Linked DNA regions of Caenorhabditis elegans. The protein of the gene in region 1 purifies or fractionates together with the protein of each later gene. This does not show direct contact. Each region holds a gene or a part of one and is shown in the gene's direction. Other genes may lie near its edges.

The links.
Region 2: the proteins of C14A11.9 (region 1) and K10G9.2 fractionate together in Caenorhabditis elegans (co-fractionation; one large-scale study listed by BioGRID). This does not show direct contact.
Region 3: the proteins of C14A11.9 (region 1) and C15H9.4 fractionate together in Caenorhabditis elegans (co-fractionation; one large-scale study listed by BioGRID). This does not show direct contact.

Annotation. Positions count from the first base shown.
Region 1 is NC_003284.9:2,806,089-2,812,913, reverse strand, and holds C14A11.9 (DASH complex subunit DAM1), read left to right. Parts: upstream 1-3,276; 5' UTR 3,277-3,282; coding exon 3,283-3,346; intron 3,347-3,810; coding exon 3,811-3,985; intron 3,986-4,032; coding exon 4,033-4,200; intron 4,201-4,470; coding exon 4,471-4,551; intron 4,552-4,606; coding exon 4,607-4,718; 3' UTR 4,719-4,860; downstream 4,861-6,825. Other genes in the region: C14A11.6 (ANK_REP_REGION domain-containing protein), read left to right, coding at 1-32, 79-219, 798-1,166, 1,209-1,378, 2,014-2,156, 2,203-2,388; C14A11.5 (Death domain-containing protein), read left to right, coding at 5,551-5,629, 5,674-5,938, 6,136-6,271, 6,319-6,825.
Region 2 is NC_003281.10:10,282,394-10,290,035, forward strand, and holds K10G9.2 (Bestrophin homolog), read left to right. Parts: upstream 1-3,529; 5' UTR 3,530-3,661; coding exon 3,662-3,682; intron 3,683-4,077; coding exon 4,078-4,466; intron 4,467-4,823; coding exon 4,824-4,903; intron 4,904-5,280; coding exon 5,281-5,373; intron 5,374-5,803; coding exon 5,804-5,943; 3' UTR 5,944-6,228; downstream 6,229-7,642.
Region 3 is NC_003284.9:6,094,212-6,101,886, forward strand, and holds the start of C15H9.4 (Transmembrane and coiled-coil domains protein 2), read left to right. Parts: upstream 1-3,431; 5' UTR 3,432-3,501; intron 3,502-6,817; exon of another isoform or gene 6,818-6,954; intron 6,955-7,005; coding exon 7,006-7,144; intron 7,145-7,194; coding exon 7,195-7,337; intron 7,338-7,675. Other genes in the region: C15H9.5 (GOST seven transmembrane domain-containing protein), read left to right, coding at 117-232, 284-476, 534-619, 667-825, 871-1,023, 1,103-1,220, 1,266-1,396, 1,633-1,774 and 3 more.

The DNA of each region.
Region 1 (6,825 bases):
AAGAAAAAATCGAGCAAAAAACTGCCAAATAGGTAATTTATATCATTCGTTTTTTTTTTGTTGACAGCGATCATTTAGCATATCAAATTTGGAAAATTCAGTAGAACAAACTTCTAAGGATATCGAATGCAATCAAGTCGGAGCACTGGAAACTATCAAGAAAGATGAAAAATTTGAAGAAAAAGACCAGATAGTAGATTGTCAAACCAGAAACTCAAAGTTAGTGAATGTCATACATACAGTGCAGTGCAGGACCCCCTTATATTTTGGAAGTATTGAAAAAATCCAAACTTTTTGTGGAAAACTATTGTGATATTTCGAATCAAGGTGTTAAAAAACCTATAATCCAAAGTTTTCATGAATTTTTCAGAAAAATTGAAAGCACCCAAACAATATTTCAAAAATATGAGTGGGCACTTGATATAGGACCCCCTTGAGGTTTTTGAAATTTTTTTTTCAAGTTTTAATAGAAAAATTATAATTTCAAAATTGTGTTCGACTGCGTGTTTGAAAAAATTGTCATGGTCTGTATTTTTCAGAAAATAAAACAACATTTACGATAAATTCTTGAAAACATGGAATTATAGGTATCTTAACTTCTGGATACCAAATATCACAATAGTTTTTCGCGAAAATTTTGCAGGGGTCCAATAGTAAACTTGCTGTATTTATAAGTAACAATTACATAAAGCACTTTGATAAAAACGAGCAATTGTTCATCGAATCACTTATCACATGCACTCCTAAGACGTACTTATTGATACTTAGAAGTTTGCATCTTTACATATTATTTCCAGAAAAGATCTCGAAGAATCTGAAGACATTGAATCATCCACTCACTACATATATCCAGAATCAAGAAATTTGAAATCAAACTTGCAAAAACTGACAACCGATATATCCACAGAAGAAAAACAAATAAGAGAGCGATTGAAATTGGGAGAGCTTGCAAATGTAGACAATGGAGTTCTGGAAGAATTTATATCAAGAGCCAATGCAGTCCTAAAAGAAACTGGAGCAGTTACGATGAGAAAAACTGCTGAAGCAGAGACCAACAAATATTTAACAACTAATAAAGTAGCGACAGTGGATTCGATGGGTACGATTTCAAACGAGCTTCTGCAAGATATTTGGCCAAAAACGAATAAATGGAGACGTGTAGCTAGGTTGGCCAATTTACACTTCTTAAAATCAAGGTGAATTTTCAGAGTTGAAGACAATATCGAAGACTCGGAGGGCAGTAAGAAACTGGATAAGGAAGTGGAACGAGAAGTTCGGGCTGCAATTAAGTCTGCCGGGCAATCATTGAGCAAAAAACAAATTGGGCAAATTCGGAAAGCGGCAGTTGCATATTTGAGTTTTGAAGATTCAGTACAAAGTAATGTTTTAATATGGAGTAGCGCCAGTGTGGGAATTTTTAAAAACCACTTTTGTGAGATTATATGAATAGTAAAGCTTTTCACATTTTTTTGAAAAAATGTTATTGACAGTCAAAAGTCAAAATTGGCAGTTACTGAATTTTTGTCACTTTTTGAGTTTTTAACTGTCGCATGTTAGAATCCCTACACGTGGTGTCAGGATATCTCCTTACACTTTGATCTACAAAAAATGCGGAAGTATTTTTCCAGAAAAATTGTGACATCAGCACGCTCTGAACCATGCAAAATCAGATGAGATTTCTGCGTCTCACCTCCCGCATTTTTTGAAGATCAAAGCGAAATGGGACTTTCTGACTCCACGTGCCCCTACAATATTTAGGTATTAATATTTGAAATATAAGTAGACCAAAAAATAGTAAAATATATTTTTTGATCGACGAGTTCCTGAAAAGTGGCAAAAACAATTTAAAAAAAATTCAAAAAATCATAAAAATTTAAAAAAATTTTCGATGTTTTTTTTTAATATTATGATACTTGGTCATTGTGATGCCATAGGCATATTTAAAACAACTTTTCCACTGTCGCTACCTCACTTGTATAATTTAAACTTTATAATGATCACTTGACATTTCAGAAGAATTGGAATTTCGCAGCAATAATACTCTGAAACTGGTGCAATTAGTTTCAGCATACGAAGCTAGCAATAAAATGGATGAACTTATGTTATTAAGACTTGCCATCGCATTTTGTACAAAAAGGCGAGATTTCTTTTTGGAGGTAGTTTATGAGTTACCAAAAAATTGTACTTAATAAGTTTTAATAGGCCCGTCCTCCAAACTTCATGCAATTTACGTACATGTATATTTATCTACTGGAGAAGATCAACTCAAGAACCGCATTGATATGCGCATGTCTCAACAATCAAATTAGGAATGCCGATAATTTCAATGAACTTGAAGAGTTAATGCTGAATCTGTTCCACGAGGATTATTTTCTAGAGAAGAATTAGAGTGTTTTATGATGATATTTCAAATGAAATGTTTTGTTGATGTTTTTTAAATTTAGTTTCAGTTGAATTGTTAATGAAAATAATGAGGTTATTTACGTAGTGTTGGAAAATTGAAAAGTGTAAGAAAATTAGGTCACAACTGTATTGAAATACATGCAAACATAAATGTATTTAATTATATTTTGCAGCATTACTTAAATAACCCCATAAGTCTTATTTACTTTAATTACCGTAATAATACAATACTACTTCTCCTAAACCTGCCAAAATGCCTTTATTCGTGTCGACAAACGGTAGGGCAAGTATATTACACAAGAACGGTAAACTTTTATCTACACATCAAGGCAATTTTACACCGATCAGATGGTTGAATCATTGTTGAATCAATTCTGCACACTTTGATTTTTTTTTTCATCTAAACGCGTTTATCCTTTCGAAAAAAAAATTTTTCATTGACTATTATACTTTGGTTATCAAAATTCACAACTATTTCAATTTTCTTATCAATACTTGATTCATTGAATTATTCGCAATCAGCGAAAAAATATAAAAATTTCCTTTCTGCAAAAGTTTCCACAAAACTACTTCACATTCGATGAGAAATTCACATTATTTGAAGACTCTCTTCTTTTTCTTCTTTTCCTTTTTTCCCATGCTACTGCTTGCGTGCCCACTGCCAGCTATTTGCCCGGTGTTTCTTCCTCGACAGAAAGTGCGCCAGGGTGTTTCTGCTGGCGCGTTGTTCGTCGCTTGCGCAAATATTGACGTAGAATCAATTGCCATCCATGCTCATCGCATCTTTATCGGGCATTTTTTTTAATTGTCGTAGTTTCCGATGTTCTTTATGCACAGCAACGCTATTTTTTTTTAGTTTTGAAAAACATTTTCAGGACTATGGAAGACAGAATCGTCGCTCAAGCTCATAATGAACTGGAACAAATGTTAGACATCTTGACAAGTGAGTTTTGTTTTATTTAAATCCGTTTTACAAATAAATTATAATCGTGAAGGAGAATAATCAATTTTCGTTAGTTATTTTCAATGAAAGAAATCAATTAGCAAACAAATGTATTTGTTAGGTTTTTTAGTTTTATCAAAAAATTTGAAATGATTATTTTTTTGATTATTCAAATGAGTATAACTAAAAAACCTGAGGTGTTATTGAAAAACCTTTAACTAGCAAAATATCATTTATATTAATGTATATTTAGTCTTTAAAGTTAAAACCATTCAATCGGAAGTTGACCAAAAATAAAGCGGCCGACATCTCAGGAGTTTTGTTGTTCAAAAACAAAACTACTGGATTTACAGATAAAACCTAGTTGAAATTAAAAGAACCGTTAGTTATTTTGAAAAAATATTCAAAAAAAATGTATATATAAATTGTAATCCTGACATTTCGAATTAATTTTATTAATTCAGACAGTTTCACAACAATGCGAGATCTCCTCGAAAGATCAGGAAACCGGCGAAATGATCTGACGCGACGAATCCAGGAAGTAAATGTAGAGTTTACTCGCTTCCGTGCGAATGGTATGCGAAATTCGTTTGAGCGGAATCTCGCCCGGCAGGAGGAGGAACGAAGGATGCGAAGAAGGTTTGTCGTTTTTGTCGAGTTAAAAAAAAACGTTAAATTTATTTAAGGACGGACTCTGACTCTTCTACGGATTCGAACGATAGCGATTTTGACCTAGACTTCATCTATCCAGTCGACTTATGGCAATTTTCGTCGCCTTCAGCAAGTGGTGATTCGAATGCATCCAGGAATATGGCAACAAGTTCACCACCTGAAAGCCAAACATCAGTTCAACAATAAGTTTTTTTTTTCAAATATTATAATTTTATGAATTATATAGAAAAGAAATTAGTAAAACATTTTTTGACAGCTTTTCTAAAAAAAAAACTAAAAGGGAAATCCTTTATTGCCGGCACTGTAGGTACCAAGTCTGTGCGGCAACCGGCAACCGAGTTGCCGGTTGCCGAAAGTCTCGGTTGTCGCACAGCTCTACTAGGTACTAGGTATGCAATCCTACTACAGGCTAATATGAGGAAAATTTGGCGATTATTGTCATTACTTTTCAGAACTGCTGACACAATAGCTGCTTCGACATCAACTCCTCCATCTACCACCAGCAATATAACTCCTTCTAGACCAACCACTAGGTAAATAACTTTTTTGCTTCAAAAATTCATTAATTCATTAAAAATTTACTTTCAGTGAACAATCAAACACAATCAAAAGAAAAACCGCGTTTGAAAAAGAAGATGCTCCACCGGCGAAACGATCAATGGCCACATCCACCGATGATGCGTATTTCTCTAAATTTTAAGTCGAAGCGCAAGCGACTATGTTCCACAGAACTCGGAAATCGACAGCTGCTGAAATCATTTACCCCTCGTGCAATACTACTTCAAAACTCAAATTCTTCAAATACTCGACTCAGAATTTCCTGATTTAATTGCACTGAATTATTTGGCCTCTCACCCAATTCTTTTAACCTGCCCAATGTTACCCATCCCGAACTTCCAGTGTTGTCTGGGTTTCCACTCAAAATTACTATGTTCTTATTTCCCGATGTAATAACCATTTCTATTTGCTTTATAAATAGATTCTTAAAAAATTCTAGATGTTATATTAAAAGTTGAGTACGTTCAGTGAAGAAATGGCTGAAAACCATTTCTGGGGTGCTTAAATGACGTCACAAAAAGGTGAAAACAAGGTTTTTATCAACTTTTTAAAACTTTCTTTAAGTTATCTATCAAAAAAATGTTAGTGGTTTGAACATGCTTAAGTTCTTCAGACTTTTTCAAAAGTGGCGCCAACTCAGATTTCCCTGCTTTTCGGCTCTTGCTTAGACACCACCCCTCCTTAATTACAGAAAATGCAAGCACCTCACCGCAGCGTGCTCACATGCTCCAAGCAAAAGCATACTACTCGTGCTCATTTTCTCTTAATTCCTCATGCTCTCTATGCTTAGGGACATATGAAGCGACGCCGTATTCTGAAGAAACGACGTGTGGTGACTCCGTCTTCTGCTCTCCTCGAACACGCTGCGTCTCAATGAACTCTTCTTGTGCACCCTTCTAGAACCGTCGTCCCGAATAGAAGAATTGCTTTGTCCTTTTAATATTTCTACGTTTGCGTTTTGTTGTTTTTGACGAATGTGCATCCAAATCAAACTGGAGGTTTCATCAGAGTTGGTCCGAAAAGTTAAAAGCTATGACTCTCATTCTTTAGAAGGTAAAATGATATATTTTTTTTCAAACACATGTGTATTTTTTCAGTTCTGTGTGACCAAGAAATCAAAAACCGCATTGAATATCTCGAAACAGTAGTGAAGGCTTGGAAAACGTATAGGAAAGTGGAAAATGAGCAGCGTCACACACTGTTCTTATTGCTATTGTCAGGAAACAAAGACGCTTTACATGATTATGAGAAACTTGTTTTGTACGCTAAAATGATTGAGAATGATCAAAATGAGCATGTCGGAGATGTCAGTATTGCAGCAAATCAAGCAAAAATCACGGATAGAGAGTCGACAACTTCAACGTGAGTTCTTTGATGTTTGAAATAATGAGCTAGAGAGCGAAGTTATTTTTTTAATATTTTTCCTACGTGAATTTGTGAATTTGTGAGCTCATTTTCACTTTTCTAAATGCCTTAAAACCACACTGAAAATCATATTATTGAAGCTGATTTATACAAACTGTCTGAACCAAAATAAAATAATATTTTATATTTTACAGAATCGAACTTGGCGCAGAATCAGACTGCTCAACGGTTGCAGAATCCGACTCATTTTCTCCAATTCCTCATCAATATAACGGTGGAAACCAAACGAGTCAATGTGGAAATGTAATTTCTACAGAAATATCCAAAAAAGTAAGTAATGCCGCTCCTTTTAAAAATGTTTTCTTGTTTCTTTTCAGCTTGTTGAAAAATCAGCTATCTCCAGCCACAAGAATTCAGATTCTATTGTCCAAGCGGAGTTTCCCGAGGATGAAACCGTTATGGGTGCATATAATAACAGTGATTTATCGAATAAAATTGCTTTCACGGCCAGTCAATTAAAAAACGTTTTGGATGACGCAGAAGTTCTGAAAACATTTCGTTATGAAGAAATCAGTGAAAGTTTGGAAAAGTTGAAATGTAGTGCCGCAAACATGGGAATAAAGCAAATTGAAAAGACAATGTCTAAAGGGAAAAAGAAAAGAGCCAAGAAAGCAGAACGAAAAGCGTCAGAGGTTGCCAATGCACATAAAAAATGGTTGGAGCAAAAATCGGGAAGTAGTCGACAAGCTGAGCTTGCTGCAAATGCTTTGAGGCTTTTACAAGAACATAACACGTTGCCGATGACAGAACATTCTAAAAAGGTCTCTGGCGGTTTATCAGCATCAGTTGGCACAAATTTTTATGGAAATTGTAAGGAATCTATA
Region 2 (7,642 bases), on another chromosome or scaffold:
TTGAGAAACGTGGTCGAGTTTTCCCAGTCCACGGCCACCTAAAAAAAGTGCCAGTGTCACCCCTTCGAAAAGTTTCACAATATTTAAATATGCCGCCTCGCGTCTATCTCTCCTTTTTCTCTATATTTGCACTCTTACTATATCAATTTTCAATGGATTTTTTTTGAATATTTCTTTTTTTTGCGTATTCAAAAGTCGTGAGAACTTTTTTTCGTGTCACTCTTTTTTTTTCTTCATTAGATTGATTAAATTTGTGTGATCTCTGTGAAAGATCCCTCAATATTTAATGAGATGGGTCGCGCACGCGAATGTGATGAAATGAAAAATGAGTTGATTCTGATTCTTATGAGAAGAAAAAAGGCTCCGAAGGTCCCCCGAGAGGCACCTGACACCTAGAAAAAAAATAGTGACGTGCGTTGTTTTTCTTTAATTTAAATTACTTTAACGTTGAGAATCAAAAGTTCAAAATAAGAAATGCAAATTGTGTAGCCAGAGAGACGCCTGCCGTGTGCCTAAAATCATGTCCACAAGACAGGCCTGCAGGGTTTAGGTAGATCGGTAGGCAGACTTGTAGCTAGCTAGGTAGGAATGTCTGTAGGCAGATCGGTAGGCATGCCTGTAGCCATAGTTTTCAAAAATCAACACTAAAACGTTCTACTTTAAAACTTCAAAAATTATCAAAAGCCATACCGATTTAAAATTATTGTTTTCCAAAACCGGTCCTTGTGACGTTCAGCACGCCTAATTTGCATATTTCCCTATTTTCTATACACTTTTTGTGATTTTTGATTACTCTCTTTTCCAGCCAACGCTAACAGAAGATATCAATGCACTTTTTAATGTAAAGCATCACATTAAAAGGCTTAACATTTATTTTTCTTTGTTTTTTGAAAAAAAGATGTTATCATTATTATAATCACTAATCACTTGTGAATCACATAAAAAGTCGTGATTTAATCTTTAAACTCTTCATAATCTAGCTCCGGGAGCTGCACTTTTGGGTGAGGATTGAGTGGAATAATAAACATTTTGTATTTAGCATTTGTGATTTTTTATTGCCTTTATTCAAAAAAAACTTCTGCGTTTTTTTGTATCTAAAAAGTTCCACATTTTGATAAAAATAGCAAAATTCCAAACATTTTTTGTCAAACTTGAAAATTCAAAAATATTTTTTCAGAAAAATAAAACTTCTTCTGGAAAACTAGCGCTCTTAAATTTTTTTAGGTTTCTAATATAAAATAGCGAATTTTTTTAAACCTGAAAAATTATGACATTTTTTATATGGATACTGAAAATTGGTTAGGCAAATTGAGTAAATCAGGTAAATCTAATCAGATATAAAGCAATCATGGTTTCTAGGTCGTGTAGATCAAAAACATTATGAAATTTTTTCAATAAAAATAGAGAAAACTCGGCCACCAGTTTTTTTTCGCGGCCTCGTGGCAAATGGCTTTTCTGAAAATTTTGGGGTGTTTAAAATTTCTAGCAGATCTCAAAACTCTGTTTTTTAGAATATTTTTTCGATGCACCATTTTTCTTATAGAAAATCATGCATCAAAGTCGAATTTTACGCCGATTTTCACACGCAAACATAATTTTTTAATTGAATTGTCCCTACTCTGATATTTGTGTATTCTACGAGGTACAGTACTCCCGAAAATTTGGAAAAAAAACTTTGGAAAATGCCAGCATATAATTCAGTATATAAATAAAATTAGATTCCCTCTTATTTGTCGATGCACCATGAGCACTTTGCTATAACCAGTAGGCAAGCAGGTAGGCTGGTAGGTAGGCAGAGTATCTCACTCCAAACGCCTTCATTCCCTGCCAAATCTAATCAACTAGCACGCCAAAGTTCAACTATATATATATTTATTATATGTTTTCCCTCCCCCTGTTTTCATTCTCAATCTTATTAGCTAGGCAGTAGGCGTCGTGTCTGCGTCTCTTTGCCACCGTTCCAGCCGTCTATCTCTCCACGATTTCTTCAAATGCTCCGCGTGCTCCGGGGGGGTGTCTTAATGAGAATTCGATGGGGGAGAGGGGGCTCGGAGCTCTCTGTGTTGCTCCATTTCTGGATTCGGTGCTCTTTTCTGTGTGCGCGTCTGCGTGTCCGGCGCTCGGCACGCTCTCTCACTCGTCCATATTTCTCCGAGAAGAGCCACACGACGTCTTCTGCTTCTTCTTCTTCTCCGTTTCTTTTTTAGTTTTCAAACACTCCAGCAGAGCACTTTGTGACTGCCATCGAACCCCTTCTCTGATGACGTCGCTGGGCTCTGTGCTCCGATGGGCTCGCAACGGCTCCAAGGGCTTCTCAGTCTTTTGGGCCAAAAGGTTCTTTGTGTGATAAGATGTCATTGAGCACATATATCTCTCAAGTTATGACTCGTTTGGCTCTGCGGAGCCCGTTAGCTCCGCATCAGCTGTCATTAGTTCCGGTTAGGTTGATTTTTTCTTGCAAGTTCTACCTTTTTCTACTTTTTTGTGCGGTTTCACTTTGTTTTTGCAAAAATTTTAGACTGAAAAAATGGATTTAAAAATTTGTTTAATTTTTTAAAAGAACTTTCAAGTTCCCTCCAACCCAAAAGGTTCAAAAATACTCAAAATTATTGTTTCTAAAAAAATTATTCAAAATTTTTTTTGGGCCTTCCATTTATTTTACTAATTCTGGTTTTTCAAAAATTTTCAAAACGTTCATCTGTTAGGAAATGTATCCCCAAATTATTTTTCTAAAATTTTTAAACTCTGTCAGTTGATTTGCGAAAAGGCACGATTGCAACGTAGTCTACCAAGTTATAAATTTGTTTTAAACATTTGAAACATTTAAAAATGCCGGATTTTTTCTAAATTTATTTATATTTTAGCTTCAATTTCCCGGTATATAGTATTACCTTTCTTCTGATTTGTATTTTCTAGAAAATAACAAAACACATGTTTTTGTTTCTAGCAACAACAACGAGAAGAAGCTGATTCATTGTGTTGTGTCATGGACACACAACCTGGTTCCTTTTTATTTTACTTTTTCATATAATATCTCTACAAGGCTTTGGAACATAACTTATTTTCAAATATTCAAGTTTCCCGCTTTTCATCTGTTTATGCAATGGCGATTAGCGGCTATTAAAAACAACTATCATGGTGCATCGAAGAACTTTTTTGAAAAAAAAATCCCACCCATATCTTGGCTTTTGGTAGCTTCGACATCGTAATTTTTAGTACTTTTTTTGAGTTTTTATATTACACATCACAATTGTCTAGTGAAACAAGTTAGTAGAATATTTTTCGCAAGCGAGTTCTGACCTGAAAAAAAGGAGAATGCTCCGCAGGCTCCTGGAGCTTTACCGAGAACATTTATCATTTTTCTTCTGTCTTCCCTCTTTCGAGTATTAGAGACTCTGAGAAGATGAGGATTTTTCAGTCAAGAAACGCAGATTTGTGGCCAATGATCTTTTGAACTTTCTCAAAAAGGTTCTATCTTCAGTTTTAACTCCGCCAGTATATTGGTTTCTTGTAAATTATCTTATTCCAGAAACCCAGTACCTCAACTCTCCAAACTGCATTCCCTGTGATCCTCGTCTCACTCCCGGACGTTGGAGCAATTCTCGTCACAACGATCGGAAATCCGGCTGCTTTTGCCACGAATCACCGCTTCACACAATCGATGAGGTGTAATGATTTGAAAGTGAGAGCAGTTTCTTGAAAGAAAACAATTAATTTCAAAGTACTTCACTGAAACTCATTTCCGACGGAAATTGAAATGGAAAATTGCTCTTTCTCGAATATTTTCTCCGTTTTCATGTTGGCAATGTAAAAATGTATGAATAGTCCTTGAAAACTTTGAATTATTTCTGGAAATTCAAAAAAATTAAAATAGAAACTAACTTATCAAACCTTTTTAGCGAAATTGGAAAAACGTAGAATCTAGGAAAATTGTACTGTAATTTTACTGTTTCAGAAAAAATAATTATGTACAAAAAATGCCATTAAAAATCTTTTCATCAAATTTTGTTTTCAGCTAATAAAAAAATACTGCGGCAAAAAGCATTTCTCAACAAAAAATAAGTCCAATTTTTTCAGCGTGCCGTGGAAGATGTAGTCCTTCGTCCAGATGAGAATCGTCTAACCGATCTTCATCACAGAGACACCATCGCAGCCTTAGATCTTTGCCAACTGGAACCTTCATCGCCAGCTCCACGACCAGACGAAATATCAGCATCCACAATGAACGCGTGCTCTTGTTCCAGTGAAATAGTCGGAATTCAAACATCTTCTACAGTAATGGCAGATTCAACACGTCCACCACCTCCATTATGTGCAAGTTCTTCCTTAGACGCTATCATGTTCCGGCAGCAGCCTATCCCGTCCCACAGGCATTCGGCAAGCGGGTCTCGAAGGCAATCGAGGGTTTATTCGAATTTACATTCCAAGAGGAAGAGGAGTAATTCGTTAACTAATTATAATAAGGGGTAAGTTTTGTATATTTTAAATGAAAATAATTTATAGTTTGATTTTTTTCAAATATTCACTTATTTTTTCCACAAAAAACTGACAATTTAAAATTAAAATTACAAAAAACGACGATGTTTCCGATTATCTGTAGTGAGAAGTTAATTGTTGAAATGTGGCGCGTTGAACATGGTGCATCGATTTTTTTTTCATTTTTGCAGTTTAGAAATTTTTCAATTGAAAAAGAAATATTTTTGAAAATAATGGAAGAACATGATTTTCAATTTTTAATTTTAAAATTCACTTTTTTTTAAAAATTAGTTGAGTTGTATAATATATAACTCTCAACAGCACAAGTTAAAAAAAAACATTTTCAGTCAATCTCTGTCAGTTTCTCTTCCACCATCAGCTCGACATACACCTCATCGATTTGTGAATGAAGAAGATGCATTTCGAAGTAAGTTTTTGGTATTTTTTTTGAAAACAAATCAATGAAAAATTCTGGAAAATCTTGAAAAAAACTGTAATCAAAAATTTACTCATAATTTGGAGATTCTGGAAAAAAGTACAAAATAAGATTGAGCATTTTTCGTATTTGATAAAAAATAACACCGCTTTGAAAATTTTTTTGCATAATCTGAAAATATCTTTCTGAAAAAATTGAGTAACTTCGAAATTTAGGAAAATTTTTTAAAATATCGATATGATAGACTTGAAAAATTCTGAAAATTCGAAATATGAATACATCTGCATGTGGCCGAGTTTTTTCTTTCGCGACCACGTGGCAAATGCCGACTCCGCTACTCAAAAATTCAAATTTCCCACCATTTCCAGACTCAATGGCGTCGTCTGATTCGCATTCTTCAGTCGCTCGTAGTGATGAGTACAATAATGGTTACGTACTGGAAGAGGAAGAATCAGCAATTCGTAGGTTTTTCTTTCAAAAAAAAATTAATCAAAAATCTCTATATTTTTACAAAAAAATTCAATTAAAAAAATTTTCTTTGAAAAATCACCCTTGACCAATTCGGGAAAAAATAATGGTTAGGAATTCGTTTTTTTTTTAAATATATATGTGTGATAAAATTTTTTGTCAGAGAATATATTTTTTTTAACGCTAAAAATTCAAAAAAAAACATACAAAAAAGTACGATGTAATTCCCTGTTGTCGCAACGCTCATTGTTGAAATTGGGCCCGTCAAACATGGTGCATCGATGGAGGTACGCAAAATTTTGTTATATTTTTTGCTTTTCGGAAAAATTTGAACTAAAAAAGTAATTTTTTGGATAATTTTGGAGCATTAAAAAAAAGAAATTCTAGAATAAAAAATAAATTTTCAACAAAAAAAAATTCCAGCTCCAGGAGCTCCACCGGATCCTCCCTCTCTTCTCCACTCAAATCACTCAACATGCTCATCATCATCGTCATCGAATCCGTTCACCTCTTACCGTCAACCCAGAAATGAATTTGACGATGATATGATGGATTGCGACTAATCTAAAAAAAATCGAAAAAAATTCCGTTTGGAATTTTTTCTCCAACTGTTCACCTAGCTTAACCTTGCCGTTTTTCAAATCCATGTCATAAGTTTACATCCACTTTCTCATCCAATTGTAGTCGTTTTCCATCAGATTCTCGTCTAGAACACCGGTCCTGTCGCTCCCCCTTTTCCCCAAACATTTGTCATTTTTTCCTGAATTTTCGTTTGCTTTTCTTTGTGATTTTATGTTAAACTGCTTTAATATGTTGTGCTATCATAAGATAATAAACTTATTTTTTCTATGAATCGGAAATTAAAAAATGTTTTTTTAGAAAATAATTTCAGAAATCTTACAGGAAAATTTTTCAGCCGGATGTGTTTTTAAACCTCATCTTTTTGGTCAACTCACAAGACAATGAAAGTTCAACACTGACATTTTTTGCTGTGAGTTAAAAAAATCTCGGAAAAATTTTCAAACTTAGTAAATGATACCTCAATATTTAGCAAGTTCCCCACTCCAACCTAACATTACTTGATTCGTTGAACTTGCAAAAAAAAAAAATAATAAATCAAATCAAAAGTACATTGATTTATAGTTCATTGTACCCAACCCGGAGAAGAAGACAATTAACACTCGACCCATTGTTCATTAAAGATCACTTTTTATTACTTTTGACCCCAAAAGAGAAAGTGGAGATGCAAATAAATGAACAAAGTGTTCCCTTCCGGGAATTTGTGATACTTAGAGATACAGTTTAAGGCGACCTATTTATGCCTCGTGCCTGCACGCGTGCCTACATCCTCAGAGAAACATTCATCCGATTCTTTGAAATGAGAGGTGTATGAATCTAAGTTGGGCAAAAATCAGAAGCCAGAGTTATTGTCAATAGGCGGTAGAAAGACATGAAATCATGCAGGCAGGCACGGAGGTAGACCTACCTACCAAAAAATTGGCTTTCAATCTGATTTGAAATTTATTTAAAAAAAAACGGCCTTACAAAAATCACAATTTTAAAAGATTATTTTTACCGTTTTACATTTTTATATTTTGTCTATGTCTTTCGTGCCTATCTGCGTGCCTACGCCTACTGTGCCATCAAGAATTTTATATTTGCCAACTCAAAGTATTCGCAAAACCTTAAATAATTAAATTTAGATACCTAGTATTTTAGAACGTAGTTATAAATATATTTCAAAAATTCAAAAAAAATTTCCTCGAGCTTCAATTTAATAAAAATCATCAGTCACGTCATTCTTCTACCACAAGCTAGCATCAGCTTCTATTACATCACAGCTCTTCCACAACTTGCCACCAGCGCCTATCACCTCAAAACTCATCCATTAGCGAGCTACAATCTCTAGTGACGTCACTCCTCTTCCACGAACGGCATCTAAATATAATGATGTCACTTCTTTCCTACACATTACCAAAACTTTCTACTTCAAGCACTTGTTCTAATTTCAAAACTAATCTCAACTTCCGCTACCTTATTCGTCAATCACAAAACAATTTCCCTTTCCAGAAGTATTCGAAATTTCCATTGATATATAATATCTAATCGTCGGCCTCTCCGCAGGTTCAAATCCTAATTTGAATGATATTTGAGAGATGAGATGTATATATCTCCTTTTTATGATGTGCGGTATCTTTGAAAATGTTCAAATCTTTTCCTCTCGTGTTTCTCTGCGTCTCGTGTATCTCTGATCTTCTCACA
Region 3 (7,675 bases), 3.3 Mb from region 1:
AAAACAGTGTAGAATGTTTCCTCAAGATGTGTGGTCATTTTTGGTTATTTCAAAAACATTTAGACAAAAACCCCACCTTTCTTAGTTTTTAATTATCACAGTATTTTACTTTTTAGCAAACCGACCAAGGATACGATGCGATATTCTTTTTCGCCGATCTGCCAAACAAACAGCTCCGAGTGTATCGCAGTGGTATTGGGAGATATATTCAAATCTGCGGAACAGCTCATGAGTAAGAACAGAGAAACTTCTTATACGTATTTGTTTTTTTTTTACTTTCTAGGTGTCAAAATACTGACGCAATCAGAACCCCTAAACCGGAAGAACTACAACCGGAAAGCTCTTCCGGACCCGTCGAGCAGCGTGGGTGGTTCCGCAACTTGTTCGGAAGGTTTCTGAACCCCGGAGCACCACAAATCGCCTACGACAATTATATACCCTTGCAGGTGCAGAATGAAAATCAGTTTTCGACAAACGTAAGCAACTATTTCATTTGACGTCAGTTTCTAAATTCTTATTTATATTGATTGCAGATGTCGATTCGATTTGATGGGAAAATAGTTGGACAGTATGTTTTCATGTTTCATAACTGCTACAATTATAGAGCACATGGATACAGGTGCTCAATTTTTTAAATATTTTTTTTACTTATAGGATTATTTTCAGCGACCGAGTGGCAGTGGATCTGACAGTCGACTTGGTGGAACGAAACAAACATTCTTATCTTTCACTTCAAGAAATCGCCAAGCCAGAAATCTACCTGTACATGTCCATTTTGTATTTTGGACTTGCTGTTTATTGGTCACACTTGTTATGCAGATCAAAGTATGCAAATATTTTTACATTACAGTAAAAAGTTTCAATTTACAGCTCCGAAAACATATATCGAGTGCACAAATTTATGGCGGTGCTTGTTTTCTTAAAAGCATTGTCAGTGTTCTTCCATGGTCTCAATTATTATTTCCTAAGCAAGTATGGAATGCAGAAAGAGATTTGGGCTGTTCTCTATTATATTACGCATTTGTAAGTGAGAGTTTTGGACAATTTTTTCAAATTTGCATTATTGCAAACTATTAAAAAAAACACCAAACATAAATTTCAGGCTCAAAGGATTGCTTCTTTTCGGAACTCTTATCCTGATAGGTACTGGTTACACGTTCATTAAACAGTTTTTAACTGACCGAGACCGCAAAGTGTTCATGTTTGTCTTGCCAATTCAGGTAAAACATCATATCGTAAATAATCAAATATGTTTTTGTTTTCAGGTTATCGACAACATCATTCTGATCATCCTCAACGAAAGTGAAATTGGAACACAGAATCATGAAACTTGGCTAAAGTTATTTGTCATCTTGGATCTGTTCTGCTGCGCATTAGTCGCTTTTCCAATTGTTTGGTAAGATTTCAGATAAAATCTATTTAAAATATTTGGAGGATCATTTTGACTAGAAATTGAAATTAAAATTCAACAGGTTTTTTGAAATATTAACAACATAGAACAAACTGACTAATCAGAAAAATTGTACTAGGTTTCGTAAAAAAGATTATCCTATACGTATAACCCAATTTTGATAGAAAAATAACACTGATACTGGAAATACTGAAATTTAATTATTTTTTTATAAATTTTAGGTCAATTCAACACTTGGTAGAGGGAGCCACTACAGATGGAAAAGCCGCAGCCAATTTGGAAAAACTACGTTTATTTCGACAATTTTATATTCTCGTTGTCGTCTACATCTACTGCACGAGGTTTTTTGGCTTCATATTACTCGTGAGTTTTAGAATTATAACAATTAAACATGTACAAAAAAAATTCTTAGCTTCAAGCCAGCGCCAGTGGGAAAAGTGTTGAAACCCCACTTTTGTGGTGCCAAAATTCCAAATATCACAGTACAACTTTATACAATTTTTTTAAATTTTTGATATTTCGTTTCAAAAACTGGTAATTACTCAGGTTTTACTACTTCATTGAAGTGGTCGGTCAAAAAAAAAAACTACCTTTGGATTTTATAGTCTACGTATGTTTCAAACATCGGTTTTTAAACAATGTAAGTATAGATTGGGACAGTGCCAAAAAAAATGGCAAAATCTCAGTAAATGTCACTTTTTGACTATGAATTCAACATTTGTAAAAGATTTACTATGATATTCGGTCTTTTTGGTAACCTAGGAGCGTGTTCTAACAATATCGTCACCGGCTCCTACTCTAATTTTAATCATACATATGTGTGCATAATTATTCCCGTTCAGCACTTAATGCCTGTGAACCTCCAATGGACCATTGTCGCTGCAGTCGAAATGGTTACCTTCGCATTTTTCATCATCGTTGGCTACAAATTCCGGCCTGCCAATTCACACAATTATCTGCTCTTGAACTCGGATTTTGATAGCTATGATGTGGAGACATCGCCGAAAGAAGATAGGAAAGATAAAGAAAACAATGAGCAAGAAATTGATGAGCAGTGAGTCATTCGTTTTATCATCTTTGTGAAAAAATCAAAACCTTGAGTTGAGAAAATCTTGCAGATTCCTGACAAAAGCCTACTCAGATGCCAATGTGTCGAGGAGATTGGTTTCAGATGAATCATCAAACAACCAAACCGACTATCCCCATCAGAAACTTTTGAAGAAACCGTGAGTGGCTTTCAGTATTAATACATAACATTCAATAATAATCTGTATTTGTTCAGTTCTCAAACCTACGAACAATCATTGCTAGATTAATTATAATCCGTTACAACAACAACAAAAACAACAACGAGTTCAGTGCAAACGGAGGGAGGCTTATCAACTCAACCAACCAACTGTTTCGATTATAATACTATTATGGACAGGATGATCATCCAGACTTCTATCGCGTTCTACTCACTATTTTCAAACATTTTGCTTTTCAAATAACATTTCTACCGGTCCTTTCTAGATGCATGATAATGTGTATATAACTATTTTAAGATAATGATGAAAATTGAAACTGATTTTGAAATATGATAAAAACAATTTCAAATTCCATTGCAATATCAATCATTCCTTAGAAAATATTATCATCATTATCTAAAAACTTCAAGATGTATGAACTAAATTTTTTCAAACATATAGGTGAAAGTACACTGGCCAAAGTGTATAAATTCTAGTCTCCGCCTCCTTTTCCCCATCTCTAATCTTTTTTAGTTGTAACATTTAGTCCAATAAATTTCCAGTCGTGTGATGTGATAACTCGAGACTCCCTGTAAAAAAATATTGTTAATTATTTTTCATTCTATTGTGTACTATTTTCTGAACCTTCTGTGTCTTTGTGTGCTCTATGGTCATCTAGTGAATTCAATATCTTATAATTCATTAATGAAAAGAAGATTTTTTTCCTTACTTAAAATCCTTTGTAACATTGATATAACCTCATATTACAACATCTATACAATATTTCATGCAATTCAGAACGACAAACCAACTCTAATGAGGGATCGCCGCATTGGACAGCTGTCCGAGTTAAAAGGACTAGTGGTAAGAGAGGGGTGAACAAGCATGGCGAAAGGGGGTACGCATTATTGCGTGCGCGTGTTTGCGTACTGCGCGTATTAGCCATTGTCTGCCGACCACCCGGAATCCGGCCATTTTCTGTGCACCGCAATAGCCAATACCGCTCGATTATTAGTTTTACGAGCCAATTTGCTCTTTTTATAATCCATCTTAGCTGTTATCGATTTTTTTTCGAGTTTGTATGGTTTTATATGCATTTTTGTTTTGTTATTAATGCTATTATTATTGGGTTAATTGCGCAAAATAGTTTTCCAAAAGTTTTTATGTTGAAATAATAATTTCCTTCTTTATACTCCTTTTCTAATTATCATCATGGTTTTTTCTCTTTTATCTGTCGTTTCCCTCAAATTGCAAGAAAAGTGTTTTCTTTTTAATTTAATCACAAAATGATTATTTTTAAATTATTAAAAACAATATGATTTATGGTTCAATTTCAACATTCACTTGATGTATATCAATTTATATTGATTTTTCGCGTGAAAATATCTCAAAAGAGCTAATTGAAGCGCGGAAACTTGTTTACTGTGTTCTTTTTCTCTGTCTGATTCACCAGACATCACAATGCTCAGTTAGAAGGCAAAAACATTTTTTCCTCTCCTATATGCCTCTCATTGTTTTGGCCGTTTTTGGCCGTGTGGATTACTGTTTTACAAACTGTAGAATAGAATTTTCACACTTTTTTATTTTTCTTGATGTAAAAACTTTGATTTTGAACTGCAATCCGATAGGGGGAGATCTTCATTGAAAAAACGTTTTACCGCACTAGAATGTTCTCATAATTAATCAAACATTAACCAGTTTTAATCAACTCAAAAAAGTGGAACTTTACCCTTTGATAACAACTCCATTTCCGACTATGATGGTCAACGGTGCAATGATAAGAGAAACGTCTCCCCCTGTATATTGACATTTATGTGCTTTTTCAATTTTCCATTGACTACATATAAGACAGTAAGGTGGACAATAGGAAATAGTTTTGCTCTATTTTATGTTTTTGTTCACCACTTCCGTACCTGCAAAAAAGAATTCAGAGCTTGAAACCTTGCCACCTATTACGACCACAGTTTGCGTACAAATGAGTGTGTGTGTCCGTTCGCGTCCGGCCAATCCTCTCTTCGTCGCCTAGCCGTTTTTTCGCGCGCCTCGATCTTGATTTTCCGCGTTCCTGCAGTTTTCTGTGTTTTTCCGAAACTAGGCAAAATCAAAACGCGGCGCTCGATTTCTTTTCCATTTCCTGTTGACTAAGAAAAGAGTGTTTTAGTCAATCTTCCAAAGTGGTTTGATTGACATCGACGCCCCTATTTCACCACCAAAGCGTCTTCTTGCCCCCCGCTTCTTTCTTCCCTCATCTTTCAACCCTTGCCCCATAGATGGATGGCTTTTACATACTTTTGGAATACTTGCACTTCTCCCGCTGCTTGCTCTGTGTAGTTCAAAGTTGTCGAGAAGAACAAAAACTGCAAAAGGCATTTTCTTTTTTTTTTGCTTTTTCGCTTCATAGATCGTCGTCATGAATTATGTTTGGCGCGTTTGAGTGAGGTGTGAGTGCAAAGACCTTGAAAAACATTTCAATCGTTTTTTTCACAGATGAGCAGGTTGCCTATATATCTCCCCTCTCGTCAACTCGCTTTTTGTCACCATTGTTCTTTTGACCATTTTTACCACCTCTAACCTTTCGGGTTGATGTGTATCTCAATACTTTTTACGGTTGCGCCGCATTAGACCCCCGCGTTCGGGAGGAGGCTACCCCACAAGTGTTGACATACTCTTCAACGTTTCTACGTTTAGTTGTGCCCTCAATTTGTTATTTTGATTTCTTTTGGGCAAACATAACTATATTCCTTTTATTTGCCAATTTAATGTTTCAAAAAGTCGATTAATTACGTTCACAGCTCCCTTTACGAAATAGTGATGTGAATTGAAAATTTACTGGAGAATGAACTACTGGGTTTTAAACTTTGTCGTAATAAGTGCAAATAATTAACCGGATTTTTTTCTCAAAATTTGAATACCCGCGCAAATTCTTGCTGAACAAATTTTGTATGTTTTTTTTCCAAAAAACATTTTTTGTAGCAAATGAATTTAATATATTTTTTATAAAATAACCAAATATCATAATAAAACTTTAAAAAAATTTTGAAAATGTTTTTTATTTTGAGTAAAAAAGCTGTGAAAACTCAGTATTTATATATTTTTTCTATTTTTATTTTTTCAAAAATATTTTTTCATCCAGTTTTGTGCTTTGATTATATTCAAAATACTTATATTCAATAATTTCCGCATTGTAGAGATTATAACTTTTTACCGCTTCTGACTCGAAATAAGATTTTGTCCAAAGTTTTTTGATAAGTTCTATTATCATATTTGGTCATCATATATTATAAATCATGTAACTATATAAATATTTTAGGTCATAGCAAAAATGAATAGGAATTTCAAAAAAAAAATAAAAGCAAGTCCTTATTTGTTTTGCATACTTTTTCTAAATTTCTTTCAAGTTTTAGTTTTAATGTTAAAAAGTATAACAAACCGTCTAAAACTAATAATAGAGCGTCTTTACAGTCCAAACAAAATACGTGAAATTGATTTCCCGCCTCTTCAGACTTTTTCAAGCTGAAATATTTCGATCTCAACATTTTTGTTTAAATTTTGTAATAGCACAAAGTTCCAGAGTGCATTCTACATGTTTAACCATTTTTCCCCATTTCCACATTTTTCAATCGATGAAAAATTAATATAATGGCGTCGGATGAGACATACATTCTTTTATTTTCAAAATGTTCAGAAAAAAAGTTCCACTCACACCTCGTGATACAGTGACTCAGCCACTTTGAAATGACCAATTGTTAGAAAACTATTTAGTTGGTGGTTATAATTTACGTTTATATTTTAAATCATTTGACATGTTTCTCATTAAATTCCTTGGTAAATAATTTGTATTCCATCCATCACAATTTTCACAAGGACAAATACATAAATCATATTGTATTGTCGTATTAAGAAAGAAAAAAAAAACCAAATCTTGTTCGATTTTACTGTTTTTATAGTCATTCGAATGATGAATGATGGGTATGTAGGAAAGGTATGTACATAATATTACACAACTATATATTCCAAACTTCATTATACCGATAAGAAATTCAACGAAATTCTCCGACTTTTAGAGAAAAAGTTTGATAAGAGTCGATAGGCCTACATTTTGGCAGAACGAAAATTGTAGCCTGTTCTTTGGGGGTTTGAAGCTTGCGGGGCAACACAGGGGCATCATAGGGCAACACAAGCAACAAGAGAAGACCCTCGCTAGTTTCGCTTTTCTTTTTTCCTTTGTTCGATATCAGATTTCGAATCAGTACGTTCAAATCGGTCTTCGTCTCATCACTTGTCCTTCTCTCGCCCCCGTAAAACACTCGTCTCGACTTTTCCCCCTACACTACTATATTCTGTTATTCCAAAATGCGTTTGTTCCAGATGACAACAGACTCGGCGAGTCTAAAATCTTCCGAGGGAACATGCAGTTCGATTGGAGACGAGCGAGAGAAGGCGAAGATTGTGCAGAAGCTAATTGAGATCAAAGACAAGCTACGGGCGTTGAACGAGAAACGTGAGGGTAAGTGGAATTTTAATACTATTATTTAAAATAAATATACAACTTTTCAGCTGACGTCGAAAAGTTTCTCTCCATAACGCGACAATCAGAAATCTCTCGCGGAGTTGGAGCAGATAACCCTCAGAGAGCCCGTATTCGCAACAATTTTGAGAGGCAGAACAGAAAACATGCACATGAGACTGAAATGCTTCAGGTAAAAACTGATGGGTTTGAAAGTAGAAAATTGAAAAAATAAATTAGAACAGTTTTCTGAAGGATTACGTTCTTGGTAAATGGTGGCTTTCCTATTACCTATGTAGCTCAAATAATGAAAAAAAACACACACATAAAAGGTTAGGTAGCCAATGCAAATTTTAGTTAAATACACCTATCGTAGTCAAAAATGCCGAAACTTCATGTTTGACCACTCCAAAAATTTTAGGCTTTTTAAAGTTCTCATTAAAATTGTATGGTATATTGTCAAATTTTTCAAAAGTATGCTTTTCCGGAAATACATATCAATGTTGCATGTTCCAACCCTTTCAAATTTGA